Linked DNA regions of Caenorhabditis elegans. The protein of the gene in region 1 purifies or fractionates together with the protein of each later gene. This does not show direct contact. Each region holds a gene or a part of one and is shown on either strand. Other genes may lie near its edges.

What was found.
Region 2: the proteins of maph-1.2 (region 1) and cex-1 fractionate together in Caenorhabditis elegans (co-fractionation; one large-scale study listed by BioGRID). This does not show direct contact.

Annotation. Positions count from the first base shown.
Region 1 is NC_003279.8:10,417,635-10,424,066, reverse strand, and holds maph-1.2 (Microtubule-associated protein futsch), read left to right. Parts: upstream 1-2,208; coding exon 2,209-2,430; intron 2,431-2,475; coding exon 2,476-3,396; intron 3,397-3,482; coding exon 3,483-3,659; intron 3,660-3,813; coding exon 3,814-4,197; intron 4,198-4,313; coding exon 4,314-4,781; intron 4,782-5,080; coding exon 5,081-5,348; intron 5,349-5,394; coding exon 5,395-5,579; 3' UTR 5,580-5,833; downstream 5,834-6,432. Other genes in the region: paml-2 (EGF-like domain-containing protein), read left to right, coding at 236-784, 973-1,043, 1,085-1,109.
Region 2 is NC_003280.10:5,445,945-5,449,445, reverse strand, and holds cex-1 (Calexcitin-1), read right to left. Parts: upstream 1,766-3,501; 5' UTR 1,764-1,765; coding exon 1,649-1,763; intron 1,606-1,648; coding exon 1,553-1,605; intron 1,500-1,552; coding exon 1,179-1,499; intron 1,132-1,178; coding exon 1,006-1,131; 3' UTR 812-1,005; downstream 1-811. Other genes in the region: nmr-1 (LITAF domain-containing protein), read left to right, coding at 2,842-2,973, 3,104-3,186, 3,246-3,447, 3,496-3,501.

The DNA.
Region 1 (6,432 bases):
TGAGTCGCCTTGAAGGTGTAGGTAGGCAAGTAGGCATGCTCAGGTCACCTAGAATGTAAGCAGGAAGACCGGCGTAGGTCGTGTTAGCAAACAAAGATAGATCGCCTGGAAGGCATATTTGCGCAAAACGGCATTGATCGCCTTGTAGGCAGGCGTACCTTGTAGGCAGGCGTAGTACATACGTCGAGTAGAACATAGTCATGAAATCCCTAAATGATACTATACCATTATTTAGTGTTGGTCCTCTATTCTATGGCTCGCGATGAAAAAGTTTCCTGCTCGATTTGCTCCATCCTATGATCCGATTTCCATGTGGACTCGTGAGGAAGTGAAAGAAATTCAAAAGCTTCCAAAAGAACAACAAGAAATAATGAAACAACAAATGCTTCCATTGAATAAAAGATTATTCCTACATCACAAATGGGATTTGATTCTCAATCAGAAATTGGAAGCAGGACTGGATGTCTCTGCTGGTTTACTGGAAATTCTGCGAACTGAGATAAAGAAGCATCATGATTTGGCTGGAACTCAATTTCAAAAAGAACAACTCCAAGAAACATTTGCGGAATTTGTGAAATCAGTCGCTGAACGACCACCAAGAAATGATTTATTGGGAACCAATGCAAAGAGTGAAGTTGTGACTCTATGTGCAGAAAAAGAGGATGGAACTGCAAGAGTGACCAAATTTATGCTAGTCCCCGGAATCGATGTTTTCAAACCAGAAGAGTACTATGATGATGCTGATGATATTGACAGAAAGAGATTTAATAATGAAATTGATAAGGTATTATATTTTCGTAGCCTGAAGGGTATTTCCTTTGAAGCTAGAGTTTTGAAAAGAAACCCAGTACTTTCAATTTTGAAAAGTCAATCAGAATAATTTTAGGTCATATTTCCATCAAAATGTATTATTGTAAAATTGACGAGTCTCAAATTAAAACTAAACAATACCAAAACGAAAACAAATTTTAGGAAACCTACAAAATTGCAAGAGAAGAAGCAACGTCTCAAAACAACTTTATGAATTCGGCCATCAAATTCAAGTAAACTTACTCTTAAATTAAAACTTTAATACATCTTTTAGGTACTACGGAAAAATCAAAAGATGACTTCTAAATGATGGATTAATTGTGATCTTTATTTGAAACATGAAATGAAGCATCTTGTTAACATAACATAGTATTATTTTGTTGGCAGGCAGAATATTTCGGAATTCCTGAAAAATCTGTTTTTTGTAGACTATTGCGGATAAGAGAATTTTGATCCCTTGTTAAATGTACTTTCCTCCAATCTGAAACTAGCGATATTCTTATACATATAAAACTTTCGTACGCCTTCGTTTAGAATATGGAGCAGTAGTGTTTTCTCTTCCAAAATCAATTGATGAAAAATCGAAATATCATGGAACGTAATGAACAGAAGCGAAATAATTGACAACATCGATATTATCGGAATGATGACTAAGTGTATTTTAAAAGATTTTGATTTTTTGGAGCACTACAAGACTCAAACCTAATCTAAAAATAACCAGAAATACTAGCTTCCAATAGAAGTGGCGTATTGATTCAGCGACATTGAAAAAGTTAAAAATGAAAAAAATCCGCCAATCGCAGGCGCTCAGCCCTTCTACTGGTAGATCAAACAAGGAAGAGACTGATATCACTAGTGATCTTGACCCACGGCGGCAGCGGTCGTATTCTGATTTAACTGCATTCTCTGCGTCTCTCACCGCGCTATATAAGGCGGCGAGAGAGCTCATTCGTGTTTTTCTCTCTCGTTTTTGTTTATTTGTTTATTTGTTTATTCTCGCTCGTTTTTTCTTGAAAAAAGGTATTTAAAAAGATCACCGAAAAAACGTGCGAGGCTTGCGAAATGAGCGTGCGGTGGTTGCGAGTTGGCACCGCCCACTGAAACCTTTTTTTTTTTGTAAATCCTAAAAATCTTCAATTTTGTCAGCAGCCAAGAAGCTTTTGCATTTTCCCTATAATTTTGTCGTTTATTTCACATTTTTGATTAGTTTTTGAACATTTTTAGTCGCTAATATGGTTGAAAAATGAACTTAAGTCTACAGAAAAGCGCGAAAAACTCCGAAATTAGGGTTTTTGTAATTATTTTGGCATAAAATTCGCCATAATTTAATCCTTCAGCGTTGTCTTTCATTTTATACGTATACGCGTTTAAAACTCTTGAAAAGAACATTTTTTCCAGATGCCGGAGGAATATATCATGTCGTCAAAGGCGTGCATCTACGTCTTGGGCGGTGCGGCCAACACGGCCGCCCTGTTTGATTTCGACGGCGTCTACATTCTCGATGGGGGGTTCGCCGAAAAGAACCCGGGATTTGTGGCTCACGTCAGGGACGTCTCTGCCGTTCTGCTCGCCGCTCCGACGCTGGGAAATCTTGGAACCACGTCTGCTCTGTTGGAACAGGTTTGTAGAATTTTTAATGAAAATTTTGATAATCTACTTTTTCAGGGAAAACCGTTGCCGGTGTTCACCAACACGAAGCCGTTCAAGACTGCCAAGCCGGGAAGCAGTGGAGAGATTGCCAAAGCAATTCAAGAAGCGAACTCGAAGCTTCTCTCCGTTGCACCGCCACTGTTCAACCCGAAATATCCGGCACACATCATATACCAGTCTGCTGCAAAAGGAGTTCTCTCCATGTATATTCTGGCTGGAGACGTCAAAGACTCCGATATGATCACAAAGGCGTTGGCAGGAGGAAACGAGGCAGAAGTGGAGAAGGCGGCCGCTGAGAATGGAACCATCGGCGTCCTGCTCTGGAGGCCTGCGATGACGGATCAATCGGCGGTCAGAGTGCTTATTTCGGGGACGAGCTCACTTGCGAGGATCCAACAATCGCTCGACAAGGCAGCGAAATCACTTCCATTCCTCAACGCGCCCACCGTGAAGTCGAAGGATGCGTTGTTGGGTATTCCTGCTCCTGCCGTTCCACGACCTGTTGCCGGGAAACCGTCTACTAGATCTGCATCTACAACCGGCGCCGCAAGAACTCGTCCAGCAGTCCCTGCAGTCAGTGCCCCCAGAGCGTTGACTTCTCGTGCTCCAGCAGGCCCAGCTCGTCCGACGACTACACGAAGTGCAACTCCTGCTACCAGAACTGCCGTTCCACCGAGAGCAACTGCACCACCGAAGGCCGCTCCAGCATCGAAGGCTCCGACTAGAGCTCCAATTCCAGCGAGATCTGCACCAGCGCCACCAAGAGGAGCCCCTGCGAAGGCACCCAAGGCCGAGCCTATCGCTCAGAAGAAAGTCGCTGGCAAAGTTCAAAGAGCCGCTCCATCGAAGCCTGCTTCGGCGGTCTCAGCTCCAAAAGCTACAGCTCCAGCTTCGACATCATCGGCTCCAGCTACAGCTCCAGAAGCTTCTCGAAGGGTAAGTTGATTTCTTTCATTCCGATCGGTAGATCTCTAGTCCTCTGCTTTTCCTTTTTCGCTTAGCAGTGGTGTGTTTCATTTCAGGATCCGAACGACGTCACCATCGTTCTCGACGACTCGCTGTTTCCAGAAGATTTCAACCAAGGATCGGCTCCAATGGATATTGTCGTGATTCCACCAACACCGGAACCACCACGTCTTGAAGAGGCTCGAGCCACGCATCCAAAGGAACCGATAGTTGACGCCGAGGACTTGGCGAAGGTGATAAGAACTTTTGACACAGAAACCGAAAATATATTTCAATTTTTCACTGAATATATCTAGTTTTTGATGCATTTCTATGTCGTTGATGTCTGTGTAATTAGATTTTTGTATTAATATTGTGGTATTGTCATGGTGAATCGGTATATTTCAGGCTCCACATGAAGTCGATGATGTCGCAAATCTGGCTGACGTCGAAGACGAAATTCCGCCACCAGTTGACGCGTTCAAGAAGCCAGAGCCACGTCCAGAGACGAATGTTGCTGGCGGTTCCGGGGAAGACAGGATTTCAGAGCCAGTCGATGCTTTCAAGAAGCCGGATCCAGTCGAGCTGGACGATTTCGATCCACTGAAGCCATCACACCCCGACCCATCTGCACCAGTTGTGCCAAGTGGTGATTTGATCATCGCTACTCCTGATCCAGAGCTCCCGAACATTGTTGCTGCTGTTCCATTCATTCCTCCATCACCAAAGGGACCAAATGATGGTCTTGTGAAGTTGGATGATGAACTGGAGAAGATTGCTCCTGGGTTTGAGGTAAAATATCCCAAAATTGTTATTTTTCAGCATGCAAATGAACTCACTTTTCTATCCAAAAAATGCTTGAAATTTTCAAATTTCACTCTCAATTTTCAAAATTATTTAATTTTCAGGAACCACTGATCCCCCAAGCTCCACGTGACGATGGCACTCTTGCCGAATTCAATGAAGATGTGTCCAAATTAGTTGACATCAGCATGGATACTAACAGCGCTGAAGTTGCAGCGGATCTTGCCAAGGCCGTTGGAGAAGTCACTCAGTTGTCGGCAGAACTTCAGAATCTGGCTCTCGACGAGAAGACGGATGAGTATGTGCGAAAGCTGAGCAATCAGATGATTGAGGACGCCACTCTGCCATTCACCAGTGCACTTGCCAGCAGCATTGTTACCTCGAACGGATCGGAAACGAACGGCCACGGGGAACAAGCACATGCAGCACAAAATGGAGGAATCAAGATTCCGAAGCATGATTTGATGCAGTCGCACTCCAATGTGATTGAGAATGGAGCTGCTGTAAAGTACGAGAAGACTGATCCAGCATTGGATGCTGTACTCAATGCATGTGCACAGGAGAGTGAACAGGTAGTTTAATATGTTTAAAAGTTCAGAAAAACCGTTTTCTGTTAGGATTAACCGATATTTTGAACGTAAATTGAAAAATTGTGATTTCTATGAGGAACAAAAAAAAATGAAAATTTGTACAAAAAGGAACAATTTCCAAAAACTCACATTCTTTAAAATCATTCCTAACTGATCAAGCCTGATCATGGAGGGAATCTGTGTATTTATTCTTGAAAAAGAATTTCAAGAGTAATTACATGTATTTTCACCGAAAACATTAGAAAATATATTTAATTTCAATGTAAAATTTAATTTTCCAGATCGATGCCTCTCATCCAGAAAATCTCCACATGCCAGCTGCTCCAGGATCCGTCGCCTCAGCGAAGCCAGTCAAATTCGCGCGTCCATACTATTTCGACGTGGTCACAGTGCCAAGGAACGAGAAATTGGAGACCTCCGTTGAAGCAGACGGTCTGCAAGAGTTCATCTCAAAGGTGCGCTCGAGAAATGTGATCCTCGCGTCGAAGGAAATCTCCGGAGAGCAGCTGCAGTCGATTCTCAGAGGAAAGCAAACATGGTGTGATCGTGGTAAGCTCATTCTCAAATTTGGCAAGTTTTATAAATTATTTTTCAGCTCATCCATGCAACGTGATCCCAACACATTCCTCTCCGATGCTGCACGATTTCCGCCAGAAGAACGAGGAGCAATTCGCCGCGAATCATCTGCAGTTTTCAATGCCCGTGGAGAAGCAGCGGACGACAGTGAGCTCGGACGCCGGAGTCGTTGAGTATGATTTGGCCAGAGTCGATTTGCTTTAATTGACTGCCAATCAATCTCCCACCATCGCCACCAATCTCCCCCACTATTTTCCTGTGAATTTTTGCACCCCCCCCCGCATAACTTATTTATTATTTTTCCCCCCGAGTAAATTTATTGCAAAGTTTTCATGTTTTATATAGCCCCCATCTTTTGGCCCCCTCCGAATGCTGTCCACCATACCTCAATTATTTATAGTATATTTATTGGCAGTTTTTTGCCAAATTCAATCATTAAATACAGTGTTTTAGCAGTCGTTCATGACATTGCTCCAACCACTTTGAAAATATGAATCAGGGGTGGGCGGCAATTGCAGTTCGACAAATTGGCAATTTGCCGATTTGACGTTTGCCGGAAATGTTTAGAGGGATATTTTATCAGACGGAAACACTTCAAACTGCCTTTTTGGAAATTTTCTCAGATTTTTCTCGATATTTTCATAGAATTAGCTTATTTTTCAAAATAGATATAGTAACATTGATAGGATGCGTACAATTTTGAAAGTTAAATTCTGAATTTACCAAAAAAAAAGTGCCGATTTGCCGGAAATTTCAATTCTGGCAATTTGCCGATTTGTCGATTTGCTGGAAATTATCAATTTCGACAAGTTCGGCATTTTGCCTGTCTGCCGATTTGCCGGAAATTTCAATTCTGGCAATTTGCCGATTTGTCGATTTGCTGGAAATTATCAATTTCGACAAGTTCGGCATTTTGCCTGTCTGCCGATTTGCCAGAAATTTCAATTCCGGCAAGTTGCCGGTTTGCCGATTTGCCGGAAATTTTCAATTACGGCAAATCGGGAAATTTCAATTCCGTCAATTTGCCGATTTGCCGGAAATTTCAATTCTGGCAATT
Region 2 (3,501 bases), on another chromosome or scaffold:
TGATCGCCGGGATTGTCAGCTGGTGGTCCACTCTTTCCCACGCAGTGTCACAAAAATAATGGACGCACATGTGTTGTCTGTTATAAGTTTAGATCAGGTGGGAGACAGAGAGAAAATGGGTCAGTTGGGGTGGGAGGTAAGCTATTTTAGATATAGAAGAAATGTTTTTAGGTTATTTGATACCTGAAAACACACGTAGTTGTTTGTAAACAAGAAGTACCCTTGGAATTGAGCCAACTTTTTGAATAGGAGGAATTTTACAGTCATTACGAGTAAGGCTTTCGATAAATTATTTTTGAATTAAACAGATATCTTGACTCGCTTGGCATTTGGCTCCGGTTTCTTGCTCAGGCGCGGCTCAAAAAATATTTTTTGGCACGTTATCCCAGAGTTCAGCTTTTGCCCAAGTTTGGCCAACTTCTGATTCGCGTTAATAATTTCTGGGCCAAACTAGGGCGAGAAACTGGAGCCAAATGACGAGCGCCTCTATTTTTTGCGACACTTGTGCTCTATAATTTCTCAATTTATTGAATCTCAAATATGTTTTGAAACCGCAAAAATATAGTTACTGCTTCTAAGAGCAAAATACAATGGCTTCATTCAGCGGCTTTTCGTAAGCTTCCAGTTTTTACTGCCAAGTCTTTACTGAAAAGTCAGCAAAAAGAATTAAACCATTGTATGTTATGCTCTTTCCCTTCTAACAATCCAACCAACAAACAATCCCGAGTTTTCCCGAGCCACTATAAAAATTTAAAGTTTCTCGGAAACTTTTTATTTTACCCAAACATCTGGAGGATCATTCATCAAAATTACTTGTTTGTCATGATTTTATCTGAATTTTTATGCTCAAGCACATCTGGTGTCAGAGACAAATTAAAGGTTGTATGTTCAAAAATAATACTATATGTTGTAAAGCATTAGAAAAGTAGTGGAAAGTGAAGGGTTTTCAGAATATTTTAAGGGTGTGGGGGATGAACAATGTACATGGTATAGAGCAAGGAAAATTTAAAAGTCAATAATTCCGAAGAGATGATTTCCAACGTCAGATTTATTTGTTGAGTAGAACAACTGATGGAAGTATGTGTTCCAGGTCTCTGGCTTCATTTGTGGAACGTATTGACCTTTCTTGTCCTGAAATAATTCCTTTTAAATTAATCAAAAAAATATTTAAATCCCACCACTGAAAACTTATGGAAAGCTGCATCACACTCGGATTGATCAAATCCATATGTACTCATTCCATCGGTATACTCGGCAAGATCCATGACTCCATCACAGGAAACATCAAAAAGTTTGAACATAAAGTTCTGATAGTCCTTGAACCATTTTGGTTCAGTCTTCGCATCGGTCTTCTTCAAAAGTCCGATCCATTCATCAATCGAGATCAATTGATCCTTATCAGCATCAGCAATGGAGCACAGTCCTTCCCAGAGAGCAGCAAGAGATTTCTTGGCAAAGCCAGTTTGAACTGATTCAGCTCCGTAAATGTCACGGACTTTCTGGAAGGTTAAAAGAAAATAATAGAATTTAGAATTCTAAAAATAATTCTCACCTTGACAACCAAGTAAAAATCTCCCCAATCGACTTGATGAGAAGCATTTCTATCTGAAACATATAATTGAAAGTAAAAAAGAGTGGGAAAACTAACCAAAAAATAGTGAGAAAATGCGTTCCCACTTCTTGACAAGGAACGGATCAACATCGGAATGTTTCTTGATAAGATCTTCAATGGAAACTGCTGCTGTAGGCTTTGCAACAACCATTTCTGAAAGTATAAGATTTGACTGAAAATTATAAAATTATGAACTTGAGAAAGTCTAGAAATCAAGAAAAAATATCTAGAAATGAACATTCCATGGGTTGTGAAGATGCTTTTATCTCACTTTAGAATGTCTGACTCCGCCCCTCTGTGTACGAATTGAAGTGCTCTTTTGTGATGATCATAGCTCCTCCTTGCGGCGACGCCCGCACACAGCACGAGATATTACACGGAATACTTATGTGATTCATAGGAAACAAGGAAATCGAAAAAATAATAGGATTTTGAGGAGGTATTTTTAGATGAATGCTTATGATGTTATGATGAACCCAAGAAATTCTGAATAGACATATGTCAGAACGGGGTAGGAGCTCCAGTGTCGCTTTTGAAATAAAAAATCAAGTGGTATACTTCTCGTATATACCCTTCTGAACTAATAAAATAATTTATCTTTTGAAAAAGTTTGAAAAAGAAAAATGCCCAAAACTTGAATTTTAATGTTTTGTATTTTGAGCATATCGTTCAAACGTCGTGATCTGAAAGTAGAAAGATCTAAATATTCGTGACACAGTTTGGTTTGAAGGTCTTAGTGGTAATTTTTTATTACAGAAGCAACAAAAAGTTGACATATTTTCAGAATTTCCAAAAAAACGTTTAAAATTTCAATTTCTTCGATAGAGTTCTAAAAATTTTTTGGAACGGATTTTGTAATATCCGCTGATAACCGTTCAAGAACAATTTGAATTTTGAAATAATTTAATCAACTAGTATCCAGTGCTCTTTCTCACTGCTCCACCCATTTTTCAACCCATTTCCTTTACTCAATTTCGCCCGTTTTCCTTTTGCTCAAATGTGCCCACCAAATCATCTTTCTTCGTCTTCTTTTCTCTTATTCGGAAGGAGAAGAGGTGAAAGTAGAATACGTTTTTTTGTTGAAAAGAGAAGAGCACTGCCACTTTTCTCTTATTTCCATCCTTCTACTACCTCGTTTTACTTTCCATTTAAAAACCCGTTTAAAGTTCCAAAATTTCAATTATCTTGCTTCTGTTTGGAACACGACAAACTTTAGTTTTGTTACAGATATGTTCCGAATATCAGTTATATTTATTTGGATATTTTTACAATTGGGATACACAATAGACTATAAAGTATCAGTTTTAATTGTTTCTGAGCCGAATCAAGAAACTTTCAAAGAATTGAAAGTTTCCGTTACGGTAAGTTTTGAAATTTTTACTTTAAAAACTTACAAACTCGGCATTATAGAAGAAGCTCCAAACTTTTAAATTAGCATATTCATATTCACAAAATATCATATTTTCAACTTTTCTTCTTAATTTCTTTCAGGCGGCATTCGTGGAAGTTTTTGGAAGCACATCATATCACTTGGGGAATGACACTATTTCCGCAGCTTTTGTAGATGCAAAAAGGTTTTCGAAATTATTATTTGTTGAGCTTTTCCCCCGAGAAAGACATTTCTTATATTCAGTGGAGATAATCGTCTGGAATTGACTCAGGATATTGTGTGCAGCCAGATGCTCAATCACTCATTGGCTTCTGTTATATTTTCTCCATTACTGACATCATCTTCAAGATTTATTGATTTGGTTACATCATCAGCATATACACTTTCATTTTACAAACTTCCAGTTGTTGGAGTAATGGTTAGAGATGCAGAGTTTAGTAAAAAGGTGATCGTTAAATAAATTGACTAATTTTGTTTTAAAAGTTCAATTTAGAATATC